Linked DNA regions of Canis lupus familiaris. The protein of the gene in region 2 binds, or shares a complex with, the protein of the main gene of each other region. Links are inferred from orthologs where the notes say so. Each region holds a gene or a part of one and is shown on either strand. Other genes may lie near its edges. The genes, in order: WAPL and PDS5B.

Region 1 (3,828 bases), on a different chromosome or scaffold from region 2:
AGCCTAAATATAGTTAATATATACACACACACAAGAGAAAGGATAGACAAAATGTAAGAAAATTTACTGGCAAACCATCTAAATATACACGGGATAGTTTAGGAATTTAGGAACAGAATTATGCTCAGAGCTAAACTTTAGAAGAGCTTCCCAATTTTGACCAAGAGGTTAAATGATTTCTCAAAGTCACACACCTACTGTGACTAATATAAAATTTCTGAAAGTAATTTTAGATTTTACAGTGGAAGGAAGGAACCCACCGTTATATTTTCTAGATCAAGATGCTTGTTGTGTACAGTTTCACAGAGCCTTCGAATTTTTTCTTTGATTTTGTTCATGTCTTTTTCATTCAGTAGCTTAGCTGAAGAAGCATCTTGTTCCAGTTCTAGAAGTCGAATCATTAGATCTAGGCTAGCTCTATCAAGATCCATGTTCAGACGATCTCTACTCAGTATGTACATGAGGGCAGCTGTACAAAGGGACAGATTCTTCAAAAGATAAAAATAAAAGTTAATGTGAGTAATTGGTGACATTTCAGTTAATGACACTGTTTTGACATTTGTTCACATGTTGGAAGCCTTGAAAATGTTTTATTCAATGAAAATGCCCCCCCCTCCTTTAGAATACTCTAGGAAAACATGAATTTAATAAAGCTGTTACTTAAAATTTTCCTTTCTAGACGTCTTCCCCATATCAAAACTCCCAAACTAGAAGAATGTGAGTGGCAATACATTTCTCTTTAGCCATTCTATGCTGAATTTATAGAGCATTGTTCCAGCTTTGCATATACACACAAAATTTTTTATACTCTACCTCACTTTATGATATAGTTAATAAAGTTGAATTTTAATCTTAAATCAATAATGTATAGGGGTCTTAAAGTCTGCATCAGACACTTAGCTATTTTTTCTATAAAATAAACACAGCTAAATTTGTCAAAAATATAAAGCTAGGATGACTCAATCCCACAACCAAGAAGAGATCATGACCCAAGCAAAATCAAGAGTCAAGCGCTTAACTGACTGAGCCACCAGGTGCTGCCAAATAGACTAAAAATTTTTAAATAATGCTTCCTAAAACCAGAAACTTAAAAATACCTGATGGTGCTGGGAATCATCCAAGGTTTTAAAGACCATTGCTACCATTCCATGTGCTCTCAGGTGCATTCGAAAACTGGGCATGGCACATTTAGTAGCCAAGCTAATAACACTAGGAGAAAACAGACCAGGTTAGGGGGTATTGAAAATAAGTAGTCATTAGTTTTTTGTTAGCACAATACCAAGAGAAGCAAATGGGGAAGGGAAGGGGTGTCAAGCCACTTGCCCATATGGATAGCAATATAAAACACACGGGCAAACCTAATTATTAAAAATCATACATAGTTAAGTGATTAGTATAAATAACAATGATCACCATTGTATTCCTTACACTACTACTACCATTAAAAGCAAAAAGTCTCAACTACCTTTCATAATGCTTCTGATACATGGAAGACTATAGATAATACTTGAAAGGATATATTCCAACTGACTGGATAATTCAATCAAATTAAGATATTCAATCCATTATAGTATGTGAAGGATGATCCAAATCAAAACATGCTTAAATCAAACACATTTATCATTTGTCTAAAATCTGGGACTGAAAAAGATTTTTTTAGCCTAACACTTCTTTTAAGCATCTCTAAATTAAAGCCTATATACTATGCTAATAGGGTACAAGCATCCACCTTTCCTCTGTCCATGCAGAATCAAGTCCCTATATAAAAAATCAGCCACTTTTAACTTACTACCATGGGCTATAAACTATATTCATGATAACAAAATCACAAATGTTTGGCTCTTTGGTTGGAAAATTTTAGTGAGAGCATGCATACATTTATCAAATATAAAAATAAGACCTCACCTAAGGCAACGTGTGTTTAGAGGCTGAGTGCTCTTTAAGCCACTTAACAGGTACTCAATGTCATCAGTGAATTCTTGATTCTCACCAAATTCCACCACATCATTGAAGTGCTTCACATGCTGAACAACAGTATACAACTGCGAAGAAAAAATAAGTCCACTTCTTTGGTAACCATGAACCAGCACATTAAAATCTATGAGCTGTATTTCATTTAGAAGTGTATAGAAGAGTTCATTATATGGCAACTAAAAGAAATGTTTTAAAAACACTGGTAGTACTAGGAAAGGTAAGTTCGTGGATATCTGTTCAAGACATTTTTAAAGGCTAAATGTTACATACAAAAATCTATCCACGTGCAGTAAAACTGTATATGGCTGCTTACTTCTTTGTCTTCTTTTCTGCATTTCAGTGCAGTAACTATATCTTGGTAGGGCTGAGTAGGTATTGTCACAGTTTTTATCACTTTGGGTGGTGGTGCAGGAGCCTTAAAAACTCCATCATCTTTTTGATTTGGTTCCTTTGAAGACAGCCTCACCTATTAATAAAGGTATTAAATTATTGTTCTAAATATATAAAAATAGTAACATCTCATCTACCTAGCAAATTTGGCTTAAAAATTTAAAAAAAGGAGGCCTCTGAAAGGTCATAAGGGCTACTTTAAAATTCTATGCACTGCTAGGTAAGACTCATAAAAGAACCGCTCAGGAATTCCTTCTGGTCTTTTTGAACCTCATGACATGATTTGTTACTTGTCTCCAAGACCATTAGAAGGAATAAAGAACCACAATTACACACATAAATAGCATTGATAAAAGGCCAGGAATGGGACAAGAAAATCACAACAGATAGACAAGAGAACTTTTAAAATAAAGAATCTGTAATGTAGGGTATAAATAATCATAATAAAAGCCTGGTATATAATTACTAATATACACAAGGATGATTTTATACTAGTATACAGAGTTTAATATATTCAAATTTAAGAAGACAAGGAACTGTATATTATTATATTTTAGAAAGAGCTCTATCCCTAATTCTTTTGTCGTTATAAAGATTCATTCCTTGACATACTGTGACTGAGGTATTACCAATAATTTAAAAGTATTAATCTATGGTCCTTCCAGTTATTCTAAAGAAAATAACTTGATAAGAATTTTTCATATGTGCTTTTAATTGAAAGCTATTACTGGAATGCAGGAAAAAGTTCTCCTCCAAAAAGTAAATTAACCACTCAAAGCTACATAGGATATAATTTATAATAGTCTTAATAGCTAACATAAACTTCAAATATGGAATAATTTACCCTTAAAACACTAAGTACAGTAATTCCATAAGATCTGGGTCAGGAGAAAAACATGTTCCAATGTTTTTAAGGCTTTTATCTATAAACTAGTAGCATCAGAACTTCAGTAATTGTGTCCACAACCCTCACTTTTCCCATGAATTAAACTGAAGCTGCTCAATTTTAATGAGGAGTCCAAAATAAACTGTTAAAGTCAAAGATTTTCAAACTGTAAATAAAAAGCAACAGCTTTAAAAAAATGAAATTAAAATTTTTAGTTCACTTACTGTGGCACTCTGAGGTTTTACTATTGGTGGCCCAGGCAGCTCTTCAGAGTCTGGATGGTTCCAATGTCTAGCATTATATACAGCTTTTGTAGGAGACTAGAGAAATGAGAAAAAGATTAACTGTTTCCTTCTCATTTTGCATCCTTATATAAGTGTCTCATCTAAACAAAATAAAATCACAAAGAATAACTTAAATACTTAAACACGTATCCTAGACAGAGCAGGATAGACCATACCTGGCTTGTATTCGCATGTGCCCCCACGCCTATGGAATCACTGTGGTGTTCTATCACATCAACAATTGGTGCTGTGGGCAACTATTACCAGCCTGTACTAACTTACTAATCAAGATAG
Region 2 (3,828 bases):
GCACTTTTAATTTCCTTAAAAACTTTTCCTTCGCATGTACAACTTGACTTACAATTGGGCACAAGAGATCTAGCTTTCAGCCTCTCTCAGCTTCCACATGCCATCCTTACCAACCTTCTTCATTACTAGCTTTTGATTAAAAGTGAAAGATATACGACTCTTCCTTTCACTTGAACACTTAAGAGGTCACTACAGAGTTATTAATTGGCCTAATTTCAATATTGTCTCAGGGAATAGGGAAGCCCGCGAAGAGGTAGAGAGGTGGGGAAACAGCTGGTGGGTAGAGCAGTCAGAGGACACACATCTGTCAATTAAGTTTATTGTCTTGTATGGGTGCAGTTCGTGGCACCCCAAAACAATTATATCAAAGATCATAGTAACATCAAAGATCACTGATCACCATAACATACAACAATTAAAAAGTTTGAAATATTGCAGGAATTACCAAAATGTGATACAGAGACACGAAATTAGCAAATGCTTTTGGAAAATGGTGCCATTAGACTTGCTCAGTGCAGGGTTGCCATAAATCAACTTAAGAAAAACGCAATTATCTGCATAGAACATTATGACAAGGTATGACTGTATGTAGTTTTCAGTACAATAGTGTAAGTTAAACTAATGTTTTCATTATTTCCTAGTAACAGCATTACTACTAATTCCTTATTAGTAATTCTACATCAGTAATTCTAATTACTAATAGTAATTATTAAGTACTAATACAAAAGACTGATAATGTCTATACATACTACAGAAGTAGCATATCCATATTTGAATACTTAAATCAACATGGAATCATAATTATTTAAAAAGAATTACATACTTCATTCATTTTTGCATCATCTGGTCCTTGGGCATCTTTTGTTTGTTTAATATTTTCTACCATCTTCCTGATAAATGCATGACTGTTATTTTCATTTTTAGCCATTAATATTTCAAGAACGAACCAAAGACATCTAAAAAGAGGAAGGGGAGAAAAAGAAGTGAAGTGGAAAAAACTGGGTGTTTAATATAGATACAATAATCTAAATATAATAAACTCCACAAATGGAAATAATTAAAAAGGAAAAACCAACTATAAATCAAGAGGAAAAAAGTATGTCATGCATACATATCACAACTTATCAGCAACATAGGTGTGAATTTATAAGACCCCTTCACAAAATCTCACTAATGTTTCCAAAAAGGCACGTTAAACACTTAAATGGTGAAGAGAATGAAATGATCCTAACTCTAGCAATGACAGGGAGAGAAGATCGTCTAAATAACTGGGCCATGGATAAGTGAAGCTTCAAATACTTAATTTAAGACTGAATGCAGTCCTGATTGAAGGTTTTCAAGTGACTATCTCACTCAATAGTTAAGAATCTTCATGAATAAATTAAAGAGGAAAAAGTTATGGCTAACAAATATACATACTGTCTTTGCTTAAAGAGGGAAAAATTAAAAGGATGTTTCATTCATTAGTTGTTACATAAAACTCTATTCAACAGAAAACCAAAAGTACTTTGTCTCTTTACTATATGGACAGAACAGGACAGAGTTTGGCACAAGGGAGACAAGAGTAATGTGGAGCAAGGTATCATTCTAGAAAGGGAAAAATAACCTTAAGGATCTCAGGTATAGGATAAGTTCTCCTGAAGTGGCTCTCTAACAGAATGGGGAGATTACTCATGGCTAGACTGGGGCAATTTAAAAATAAGCCAAGGGATCCCTGGGTGGCGCAGCGCTTTGGCGCCTGCCTTTGGCCCAGGGCGCGATCCTGGAGACCCGGGATCGAATCCCACGTCGGGCTCCCGGTGCATGGAGCCTGCTTCTCCCTCTGCCTATATCTCTGCCTCTCTCTCTCTCTCTCTCTATCATAAATAAATAAAAATTTAAAAAAACATTAAAAAAAATAAAAATAAGCCAAAAATGTTTAGTAAATTCTGAAGAAAAAATAAATGTATTTCAAAAGCCAAAGTTCTCTGAGAAAGAGGAGTTGTTAAAGTTTTCATTAGTTATAATCACTAATGCAGAACTCATTTTGGGAGAACTGCTTATTAAAAAACCAAAAACAGGGGTATCCCTAGGTGGCTCTGCGGTTTAATGCCTGCTTTTGGCCCAGGGCCTGATCCTGGAGACCTGGGATCGATTCCCACATCAGGCTCCCTGCATGGAGCCTGCTTCTCCCTCTGCCTGTGTCTCTGCCTCTCTCTCTCTCTGTCTCTCAAGAATAAATAAATAAAATCTTTAAAAAAATAAAAAATTAAAAAAATTAAAAAACAACAAAACCAGAAACTGTGCTAAGAGGGTAACAGCTTTTCCCTTGCCATGAGAAAGTTATCAGTAATTTGATTTTATTCTCTTGAGGCACCTCAAATATTTAACTATAAAATATTTCAATGAACGAAGAAACCATTATTTTCCTTTAATAGGAAGCTTAAGGTATAATAAATTCATTTATTCAAAACCACAAAGATCATCCTTTATTATATAGTACAAAGGGGGCTAAGGGTCTCAAACTTAAAGAACTATTCTAGTGTTACAAAGACTTTTCTAAATACCATTATATTTCCCTGTTCCACACCCAGGCATAGATGGTTTTTTGGCCTCTCAACAACAATCTTTGGAAGAATTACAAGTGTCATAAACTTGCACTAGAAAATCGCCAGTAAAGTAGTAAGTGGGTAGTTCCTGATGATCAGCTTGGTCCATCATTAGATTAGACCATTCTCTCTTCCTCCGGAGGAAGATAGTTACTGCAAGGAAAAAGTGCTATGTGAATAAAATTAATTCACCCACATGAAAATCTAGAATTGCAGAAAAAAGTGGGAAAAGACAAGAACTGGAACAGAAGCTTTTAATGGACTGCATCAACAGAAAAGAAATGCCAGAAAGGTAGAGAAATAGAACAGTAGTACAATAATTATGCTAAATTAAGTTTTGGAAATCACATAGGAAATGAAATATGAAGAGACGGTATGAAAAAAAAATAAGAGAATACAGGAAAGAACCTTAAACTCCTAAGAATTTAGGAAATCTAATAAACTAATTATAATAAAGATTCCATTATCAGCAGCAAAGAGAAAAAACTTTCAGAAAACATTAACATGGGATGAAAAAAGTCTTACTCTTTAACATCTTTAAGTTGTTCAATATCCTGTACTTTAACATAATCTGGGTCATGTGCCAATAGGTGAATTGTATATGGAACAACATATTCTGGTAGAAGAGACAATAATTTTTCTGAAAAAGATAAAACAAAATAAAACATCCAGGTTAGAAAACCAAATCTTACTCTGTCTCTGATGTCATATTTCCTGCACCCCAATAGTTTACCACAACATGGCTAGACGGAAACTATACTGAAATATCCAGTATTGAGGAACATCATAAACAAGTTTATTCATTATTCATCCACCATGTCCAATATTGAGATGTCTACTAAATGCACCATATGCTAAGGCTATAATGACAAACATTTTCATTTTCAAATGCATGTGGTAAAAAGTGACTTGAATGTATTAAACAAGACTCAGAAAGATCTATTTTTCTTGTCATTATGAGCACCCCATATTTAACAGTTTCTTGTTAAGCTGCTAAGAAAAAAAAGATACATCTTTTTATCAATATGGTGCCAAAATAGGATGACTGATACTCTTTGATACCTGTAACAGAACAGATCTAAAGTAATGGACTTCAGAATTTCTAAGACAGATGAAGTAATAAAACAAACACCTTTTAGTTTAAATTCAAATATTTTTATATTTTGACTGCGATCAGCATATTCCCTTAGAGGTCAGAATGATAAACCTACTTAGTTTTAATAAAGATTAGTCAAAAAGA

What was found.
Region 1: the proteins of PDS5B (region 2) and WAPL are in contact, whole or in part, in a crystal structure (PDB 5HDT), measured with the Homo sapiens proteins. The link is inferred for Canis lupus familiaris from reciprocal best matches to the Homo sapiens genes PDS5B and WAPL. Residues at the interface, in NP_055847.1 of Homo sapiens: Gln47, Phe88, Ala92, Pro93, Ala95, Trp137, Val138, Lys139, Ser140, Asn142, Ile143, Phe145, Glu146, Glu187, Gly188, Asp189; in NP_055860.1 of Homo sapiens: Lys7, Thr8, Tyr9, Ser10, Arg11.

The regions. Positions count from the first base shown.
Region 1 is NC_049225.1:35,120,085-35,123,912, forward strand, and holds part of WAPL (wings apart-like protein homolog), read right to left. Parts: intron 3,571-3,828; coding exon 3,475-3,570; intron 2,441-3,474; coding exon 2,288-2,440; intron 2,043-2,287; coding exon 1,906-2,042; intron 1,210-1,905; coding exon 1,098-1,209; intron 489-1,097; coding exon 261-488; intron 1-260. UniProt on the Homo sapiens protein: Regulator of sister chromatid cohesion in mitosis which negatively regulates cohesin association with chromatin. Involved in both sister chromatid cohesion during interphase and sister-chromatid resolution during early stages of mitosis.
Region 2 is NC_049246.1:7,478,434-7,482,261, forward strand, and holds part of PDS5B (sister chromatid cohesion protein PDS5 homolog B), read right to left. Parts: intron 3,229-3,828; coding exon 3,114-3,228; intron 957-3,113; coding exon 824-956; intron 1-823. UniProt on the Homo sapiens protein: Regulator of sister chromatid cohesion in mitosis which may stabilize cohesin complex association with chromatin. May couple sister chromatid cohesion during mitosis to DNA replication.